Coturnix japonica: one gene and its partner. The protein of the gene in region 2 interacts with the protein of the main gene of each other region in a biochemical or structural test. Links are inferred from orthologs where the notes say so. Each region holds a gene or a part of one and is shown on either strand. Other genes may lie near its edges. The genes, in order: IRF8 and SPI1.

What was found.
Region 1: the proteins of SPI1 (region 2) and IRF8 form a complex in vitro, tested with the Homo sapiens proteins (3 studies listed by BioGRID). The link is inferred for Coturnix japonica from reciprocal best matches to the Homo sapiens genes SPI1 and IRF8.

Annotation. Positions count from the first base shown.
Region 1 is NC_029526.1:15,660,085-15,664,592, reverse strand, and holds the start of IRF8 (interferon regulatory factor 8), read left to right. Parts: upstream 1-1,580; 5' UTR 1,581-1,588; coding exon 1,589-1,602; intron 1,603-1,672; exon of another isoform or gene 1,673-1,695; intron 1,696-1,725; exon of another isoform or gene 1,726-1,747; intron 1,748-1,816; coding exon 1,817-1,991; intron 1,992-2,843; coding exon 2,844-3,027; intron 3,028-3,736; coding exon 3,737-3,825; intron 3,826-4,278; coding exon 4,279-4,390; intron 4,391-4,508. UniProt on the Homo sapiens protein: Transcription factor that specifically binds to the upstream regulatory region of type I interferon (IFN) and IFN-inducible MHC class I genes (the interferon consensus sequence (ICS)). Can both act as a transcriptional activator or repressor.
Region 2 is NC_029520.1:20,476,725-20,481,162, reverse strand, and holds the start of SPI1 (transcription factor PU.1), read right to left. Parts: upstream 2,847-4,438; 5' UTR 2,508-2,846; coding exon 2,463-2,507; intron 1-2,462. UniProt on the Homo sapiens protein: Pioneer transcription factor, which controls hematopoietic cell fate by decompacting stem cell heterochromatin and allowing other transcription factors to enter otherwise inaccessible genomic sites.

The DNA of each region.
Region 1 (4,508 bases), on a different chromosome or scaffold from region 2:
CTTTGGGCTTTGCAGATGTGCAAACCCTTGGCTGGTGCAAAGCTGGTGTCCACATTGCTATGGGGTATCTGGGTGACCACCTTGTGCTAAGCCTAAGGAATATAAGCAAAGCCAATGGGCTGGGATTGACTGAGCAGCACCTGGAGCAGCGTGGGGATGAAGACATAGATAAAATGGGACGGAATGAGACCGGACGGACTTTGGACACACGGACACGAGCCGCCCCCGCTCCACGATGTTGATTTCCCGGAAAACCACGAGCTGCGGAGAAAAGCGCGCGCGCGCGCCCCCTACTGGCGCGAAAGGAGGAGGAAGGGCTCCTATTGGCTGAGAGGCTCAGGGGGCGGGGCGATGTAGGGCGCGCCTTGCGGGGCGCTATAAGGGTGCGGGCGCGGGCGGAGGGGAGCGGAGTGGGGTGCGTGGAAGGTAATTAATGGGGTGTGTTGTGGGGTGTGGGGAGGGATCGGGGTGGTATTAGGGTGTCTTTGGGGTCTCTGGTTGCTGGAGTGGGGGTGTAGAGTGCTGGGATAAGGCTTTAAGGTGTATGTAGGGTTTTAGGATGGTGGGGGTGAGTAGGGTACAGACATGGGGGGTGGCTGGTTGCTGGAGTGGGGGGTATACGGTGCTGGGATAAGGCTTTAAGGTGTATGTCTGTAGGGTTTTAGGGTGCTGGGAGTGAGGAGGGTACGGGCATGGGGTGCTAAGGGAGGGGGTGTTAGGGTTGTGGGGTCAGGGTGGTGCTGGGATAGGGTTGGGGGTGATGGAATGGAGGCTGCAGGGTGCTGGGGGTTAGGGCTTAAAGGTGCTGAGTTTATAGGGTGCTGGGGGTGGATGGAGCTGAGCTGTGGGCTCTGGGAATGGAGTTTGAGGGTCCTGTGTGTGTACAGTAAAGCAGGCAGGGTAATGGGTTGTAAGCTGCAGGGTGCTGGGAGTGGTGCTTATAGGGCTCTTGGGTGTGTAGGAAATAGGGCTGCACGGTGCTGGCAGTGCATCGGGAAGGATCTTTGGGTGCTGGGATGTGAAGTTTGAAGGTAACGTGAACAAGCTGATGAGAAGATGGGCTGAATTGGCTTTCTCATGGCTGCTCCATTAAGCCGTTTAGCTACAAACGAGCTGAGACCAGAAGTGGGGTGACCTCACATCCCTCAGCAGGGCCATGGTCCTGTCCTGGAGAGGATGTGGTTGGGTGACCCTGCTGCTACCTGCACTGCTCCTTGCTGTTCTCATGCTGCATGAGGCTTTGCCCTTTTAGGTCTTTTTTTTTTCCCCCTCATTGCTTTAGTACTGGGAGCTGTCTGCCTCTATAGCATCACTTCTTTAGCTGACAGCCCAGTTCCTATGGGGTTGACCCCAAAAAGAGGGGCCATTGCAAGGCAGCCTGTTGCTGCGCCAGAGCTTTGATCAGCAGCAGGAGGAGGATAAAGGTGCCTTCCAGCAGGGCTTCCACGCAGGCTGCAGATAGGCTCAGGCTGCAGATAGGCTCATGAGAGCTTTCGTCATACTCAGTAAATGGGGTGTGGGCACCGGTCCAGTGCCTGCCCACATGGCTGGGGCGGAGCGATGGGGGAACGGCTGCAGAACTGCTGCTATGGCTTTTGCAGTGTAGTAAAGGGAGGTTTGGTGTACGGAGGGGGACGTGGCCAATGCTGCATGTGATAAAGTGGAGCAGAGAGTGATCGCTTCCATGCCCTGAAAGTGAGAGGCAGCTATTAGAATGCGTTAAGATATCTTCGTAGACCAGACTGCTGTTAGTTGAGGGGTTGCAAAAGGGTGTGGGGATAAACGGACAGACTGACAGCTCTTATTTCTGCCCCAGGATGTGTGACCGTAACGGTGGGAGGCGGCTGCGGCAGTGGCTGATTGAGCAGATAGACAGTGAGCAATACCCAGGGCTCATATGGGAGAATGAGGAGAAAACCATGTTCCGTATCCCCTGGAAGCACGCAGGGAAGCAGGACTACAACCAGGAGGTGGATGCTTCGATTTTCAAGGTAGGATGAGATGGTCTGTCATTATAACCAATGGTTTCTGGGCTATAAGGTGAGGTGGTCTGGCCCTGTTGTCAGTGGTTTCTGGGCTATCTGATATGCTCTGTCACCTGCCCTAAGCTTCCTAATGGGCTCTTTCTGATAAGAGTGTATTTACCAAAGAAAGAAAAGGAAGGAAGGAAGCGTCAGCTATTTCTCAGAGAGGAGGGACTTCACACATTGGGTATAATGGGAAAATTCTGTCCTGAACCAAAAAGTCAGGCTCTTCCCCAGGAATTCCCTTTGCTCTATTCCCATACCTTGCCCCATTCCCATACCTTGCTTTATTCACGATGACTGATGGCTTTCAGGGCACCGATCACAGCAATGGGTTATAGAGGTGGCTTTATATATATTCATATCTGCTATCTATATTAAAAGATAGTCTCCCACCTCCCCGTGAAAGCACAAGTGCCATTTAGATATTAAATGAAGAATCCAGCTGGCAGTTTCTGGTCTAAAGCTGAAGGGGTGAGCTGTATTTTAGTCTGGATTTGGGTGTTACTGGGTCAGGATGGGCATCATTGCTTGGGTCTGCACCCTTGTATCAGTCCATGCTGAGACGAATTCACATGCTGCTGTTTTAGCTTTGGTTTGAGCTGTATTGTGAGGGGCCATGAAACCAACTCCAGCTCCCATAGCTTGGTGTGGTGTGGCTGGTGCAGAGCTGGCTGTGTGGCAATGCCTGAACTTTTGGGGACTTATGAGTTGTTTGTGAGCAGCAACGTGCCCAAGATGTGCTGCCCATCCACTCTTTGGTCCAAAGGGATTTGCAGAGCTTATATTGAGAATGATTTCATTCTTGCTTTGCTTTAGGCTTGGGCTGTTTTCAAAGGCAAATTCAAAGAAGGTGACAAGGCAGAACCGGCCACCTGGAAGACACGGCTGCGTTGTGCCTTGAACAAGAGCCCTGACTTTGAGGAGGTAACAGACAGGTCCCAGCTGGACATCTCTGAGCCCTACAAGGTGTACAGGATCGTGCCAGAAGAGGAGCAGAAATGTGAGTGCTCCATTGAAAGGCATGGGCTCTGGGTACTGCTGACCTATAGCCAGCAGTGTGGGGCTGGCCCCATAGCTTGGGTGCATGTCCTGCATCACTGCAGTGCTTTGTCCTCCCAGCACCTGCCCTGGCAGGGAGTTGTGATAAATCCCTTCCCTCTTGCTATCACTCCAATAGAAACAGCAGCTCAGCAGGGAGCAGCCACTGCTGTATGGCACAGGTTGCAATATGCATCTCTCTGCTGTTGTTCTGATGTGTGATGGAGTTTTTCCTTTCTCTCCTTGCTAGCTTTGTCTTAGTAAAAAGGAGGAGAGGGGGAGAAAACAAGATAAATCACGCAGGAGATCTGCGTGTAGCATCTTGTCTCCTATGTGTTTACACTGGGGGCCCTGTATGCAAATGGCACTGCAGGTTCCCACCGGCTCATGGCAAAAAGAGAAGCAGCCCCGGTCTCTGGGGTGCTCAGAAAACACCCTCTCCTCTGCTCTAACCCCAAGCCGAATTTAGTTTGCCCTACTGCTCGTCACTATGTACCAGTGCCATTTATTGCAGGCTGGTTTCTGGCCCCGTAATGCAGCTGCTGGGGGGGAAGAGGAACGCGGGATTGCTGCGGTTCTCAGTTTCATAACTTTCGTGGGGTGAAGGGTTTCTGAAATCTGGTGGTGAGGCCACGGCTGCTCTGCTGCATCATCCTCACTGCTCTCTGCAGGCAAAGTCGGTGTTGGGAACGGGAGCAGCCTGACTGATGTTGGGGACATGGACTGCAGCCCCTCTGCCATCGATGACCTGATGAAAGAGGTGAGCTCCCACTATGGATGCAGACCTGACCAGGCAAAGACTGCTTGCCTGGTGGTGCTTAAAGCTACATCTGCCTCATGTAGAGCACTGTGCTTTTGCAGCTGTGCTGGCTGTGGTCATTCATCTGCGCAAGTCTGAGGTCTCGGTGTGGTTGCTCATGGCTGGAGCATGCTTCGTTTGCATTTGTGTTTGGAGGGGGCTGCAGGCTTCTTGTGCTTCTGTTCCCTTTCTTCGTTGCACTGTGTGGGGCCTGTTCTGCTCCATGCCTCTTGAGAGGTTATTTGAGTGCACAGCCTGGGGAATCCCAAACTTGCTCTTTCTAACCAAAAAGCATTCACCAGCCTCTTGGCATCCCTTTTGCCTTCTTGCTTTGCCTCTCGGACCCCTCTTTGGGCACTATCCAGCTTTTTTTTGTCCTTGGCTGATCCTAATGGGTGTCCCCTTCTGCTCCAGCCTCCTTGTGTGGATGAATATCTGGGGATCATCAAGAGAAGCCCCTCACCCCCACAGGAGACCTGCAGGAACCCCCCAATACCAGACTGGTGGATGCAGCAGCCCAGCCCCTGTAAGTAGTGTGTGGAGTGTTCTATAGGACCCAGCTGTTTGTCCAAGGGCAGTGCCTGTGATGATGGATGGTGTAGGCTCCCTCTGGGCAATGCTTGTATTCCACCTTCCTTAGTGCT
Region 2 (4,438 bases):
CAATTGAATAACAATTTGAAAATTGGCCTTGTCAAATGATTCCAGGTGATCATAATTTCACTGAATGCTTTCATTGTTATCCCAATGTAACTATTCACTGGCATGTGATACAGAAATACTCTACATGGTTTCCAACAATGTGCTGCTGACACAAATTTTAAGGCCAAGGTTAACTATATTAACAGTTATATTATATATTAACAGTATAACTATTTTAGAAAAGATGAGTGAAAATGATAACATGATCGCTCATTGGGCCAGCCTTACCAGACCACTGGAGTGAAGCAGTTTTATGGGACAGCAAGCATTGGAGAGGCTTTTTTTTCCTCTCAAGCCTCCATTCAGAGCTGTGACAGATGACTACTTAGGAATTTGGATATGAATAGCTCCCACTTGGAAGGCTTGGGTCCACTTTGCTGAACTCTGTCATAAAAATATTCATAGTCTTTGGAGAAAGATGTGTACTCCTAAACCATTTGAGTAGCATTTTCCAAAGGACGGTCAAGAGTTTCCTAGCAGAGTTGGGAGGAAGGCAGTTATTGACCCACCCTCAACTGAATGGGGAGGGGCAGAGGAGGAAAATGTTGCTTCACAGGAACCCTTGTGTAGAAACAGGGTAATGTCTCTTCTCAGAAAAAGTCCCAAGAGGCACAGACGTTTATAGTGATGCCATGCTTGGGCTGTAACTCACCCTGCTCAGAGTGCACTTGAAACAATTCTGAAAGTACGAAACACAAAAATATTCACTTTTGAATGCATTAATCACAAAAATAAGAAACAAATTACCCCACCAAGTGTTCCTTTAAGATGTAATTGTATTTTACTGCCTGTTGTTTTATTCACCTGACTTTAGCCAAAATACTAATTTCAACAGAAATTAGAATGTGTGTGTGACTATGTTAGAATTTACTCCCAGAATCATAGAATTTCAGGAGCTGGAAAGTTGTTGAGGCCAACCCCCCAGATTGTTCAACGTATGAACTGGAATTCAGTACTTTAAAAAAGAGTACAGGAAAGTTGGCTTTGAGTGAATGAGTAGACAGAAAATCATCAATAATAATAAAACTGAGATGCTGCTTGCTGGAGTAGTTGAGGACAAGGTTTGGGTGCTTTTGAAGGGGATTTTTGTTAAGCTCACCAAGTAACATATTGAGAAATTTATACTCTTTCTTTTTTTTTTTTTTTTTTTCCCTATACTCTCAATTTTTTTGGATGCTTATGCTGACATATTTTCAAAAATTAAAGAAGATTTTTAGAGTCTTCTCACACTTTGGGTAAATAGTGAACTTTAAGGTCACCACTGATTAACTGCTAGAATAAACAATCTCCCAAATGTAAGAGGCAAGTATTTTTTTCAATCAATATAGATTCCAGACAGAAAAGAAATTCAAATAACCAGGGAGTTTGTTTTTTTGTTTTTTCTGGAGATCTGAAGATAAGGAAATATGGCTTTACTTTCTTTAGGTGGGGCAATAGAAAAAGTGAATATGATGTGCGTTTTGTTAAAAGGACTGTTGGTTGGGCCTTGTCTTTTTTTCACATAAGCAAGTACTGTAAGTTATCTACCACATTAAAAAGGGGGGGGGGGGGGGAAGAAAAAGAAAAAAAGAAAAAGAAAGCCAATTAAAGCACCCTATCTGATATCACTCTAGGTTATACAAACTTCATAAAATCTTGTTAGGGCCTCTTTGTCCCATTTTTCTTAGAAATGCCCCGTGAAGGTTTGTCTCTCAATGACAGGCTGGTGCCATTACATTTTTTATAAAACTAATCTTCAAACTCATGGTAGAATACATTACAACAACATCCCGATGCTTCAGTGTTATTAAAGAAAAAGAAAAAAGGAAAAAAGATAGAACTAGTCTTGTTATCATCCGGAAGAATCTGCATCTAACAGAAAATATTGAAAGGCCCAATTAAGCACAGTGGAGTTTTTTTCATCATTCTCCAGTTACTTTTTTACAACAAGTGAATTCAAGAAAATTCAGATTCAAAAGAAGGTGAAGGCAGAGACTAAAACACCATCAGTACAAAGAGCACAGAGTCCAAAAACCAACAGTACTTAAAATCAGTATTCAACAACTCTGACTGGTAGAAAGTTAATTACGCGAATTATAACAGTCTCCAGATTATGAAAAATTACAGCTTAAAGCAAGAGTTGGCCTAATACCACAAAGCTGGCACTTGTACTGGCTTGCCATATGCATATCATACAGAACTAGTGTACATTTAATCTGTGAAAGCAAATGGAGATCAAGATCCGATATAAGCGTAGGAAGGAAACATTAATTTCCCATTCATTGTAATGTTGTCCCAAGCTTTATATATTCACCCGAACCTGTTTTCCCAGCATTACAAATGTAGACCAAAAGAGGACAATCTCAAATATTAAAATCTGGTTTACTTTGTCTTTTGCTACTAAACCCAATGATCCACATTAGAAATAAAGCCCGCATACTCACAGGGGGAATGAGGGGAAATCCTTCCATTTTGCAAGCTTGCAACATTCAGCCAATTTCAGAGTGAATTTTTCTTAATTCAGTTTTCAAACATCCAGAATAACTGACTTGAAAAATCACATGAAACAAACAAAACAATGAAGAGAAAAAAGAAGGAAAAAAAAAAAAAGAACAAAAATGAGATCCTTGGACTCCGCAAAGTCCCTTTGCAGTGGTGGATCTCAGGATAGGAGAATAACCCTAACAAGTTTTCATAGTTTGCCCTAATAGGTTCTGAGGTGAACTTCTTTCCAAGTTGTATTTGAAGTTCCTGATTTTATCAAATGTCTGTAGAAGGGAGATAGCCCTTGGGTCTATCAGTGCGCTGTGACATCATCACAGCTTTGAGTTTGCATAAATCTCATTTCAGGGAGCTGTGGCGCTCTAACAGGAAGTCTGCCCCAAGCCAGATCTGCCATGGGCAGGTGCTTGCTGTATAATCAGCAACCCAGTGCCTGGGCCTGCTACCAATAAACAAGTCTATGGGTACAGTGTGCTGTGGTAAGCCTGTGTACTTCCAGCTGTGGAGGAACCAAATAATGGTGCTGCTTAATGATCACAGAGCCTGACAACTTTTGTGAGGATAGAACAGTGGCATAGACTTGTTTTAGTAACAGTGCTGTATTGGAATTAAGAGAAAAGAAAGAAAAGAGTATGTAGCGTCATGTACACATTCTCAAATATTCAAAAAAAAAAGAAAAAAAAAAAAAGAAAGAAAAAAACAAAACTACAAAACAACAACAACAAAAACAAATCAAAACCCCAAGCCTTCCCCCCCCCTTTTTTTTCTTTTAAATTTGGTTTTTAATGTTAAAATATAATTTTCTATAAAACCAATGTTTTGTAGAAACTGAGCCCGCTAGACTTTCTCCATAGAATTTGCTACAGATCAAAATTATTTAGAGAAAAATACTAAGTCTTCTTGTTGTGATTTCTTTCTAGGCACCGCACGGATAAAAAAAGTGGGAAAGGAGAAAGCATTATATGCCCCATGTAATGGCTTGACTTCTCAGAGTGCCTTTAACAGTGAGTAGAGAATAAGGTTTGTAGATTGGTATCTGAATGGCTGGATTATGAAATTGCATGTAGAAATTTTGCTTAAACTCTATGCACAAGTTCTTTCCCCTTTCTCGCTCAACACTGCATAGGCTACAGTGAGCACGTGCCCTTCCCACCAAGGTTCAGTCAGAGGCAGGGGTGAGTGGGTCACAGTGCAGGACGTAAAGGATGGGGCCTTGCTGCAATGGGAGAACTCTCATTCTGCAAAATGCCTTCTTGCTTTGCAAATAGTTACTGATATTTTGGAAAAGTGAAGTTGCTTTCTCTGGGTTGTTCCCCTTCAATATGTGCCCATGTGCCACAGGTTCTGCTTTTGAAAGTAGGCTGTTCACCACTCACCTGGGTCTATGTGTGAGGGGGAGTTTTAGCCACTACAACTTCCTCCCTCATACACTGGTAAAACCAGAGGCTACTCATAAGTTCCTCTCATTCCCCACCCTAAGGAACCAAACAAGCAAACCATGTTAGCAATGGGATAAGATCAAAACACGATGGGAGATTAACTTTTGATGCCTAAGGCTGAATTTCACTGTCATCAGTTGATACATAACCATTTCATTCTTAGATTGTTTGCACCATGTAATCTTGGCATTAACCTTGAAATAAACAAGCTCATAAATGGTCCATTTCTGCTTCAGAGATTATTGTCAAGTCTCCTTTTGGATGAAAGCTTAGAATTGGTCAGATCTATCTTGGGAAACAGGAAAGTGACAACATTACAGTCCTAATGATAAAGTTAAATCAATACAGAAAAGAAAGCAGTATACAGTAGCATACATATTCATTGGATATAGGGTAATGAAAGTAATTGTGGAAACTGTATGCGTGTTTAAAATGCTATTTAGAACAAAGACGTATGCTATCTGATTCTCAGTATGCTG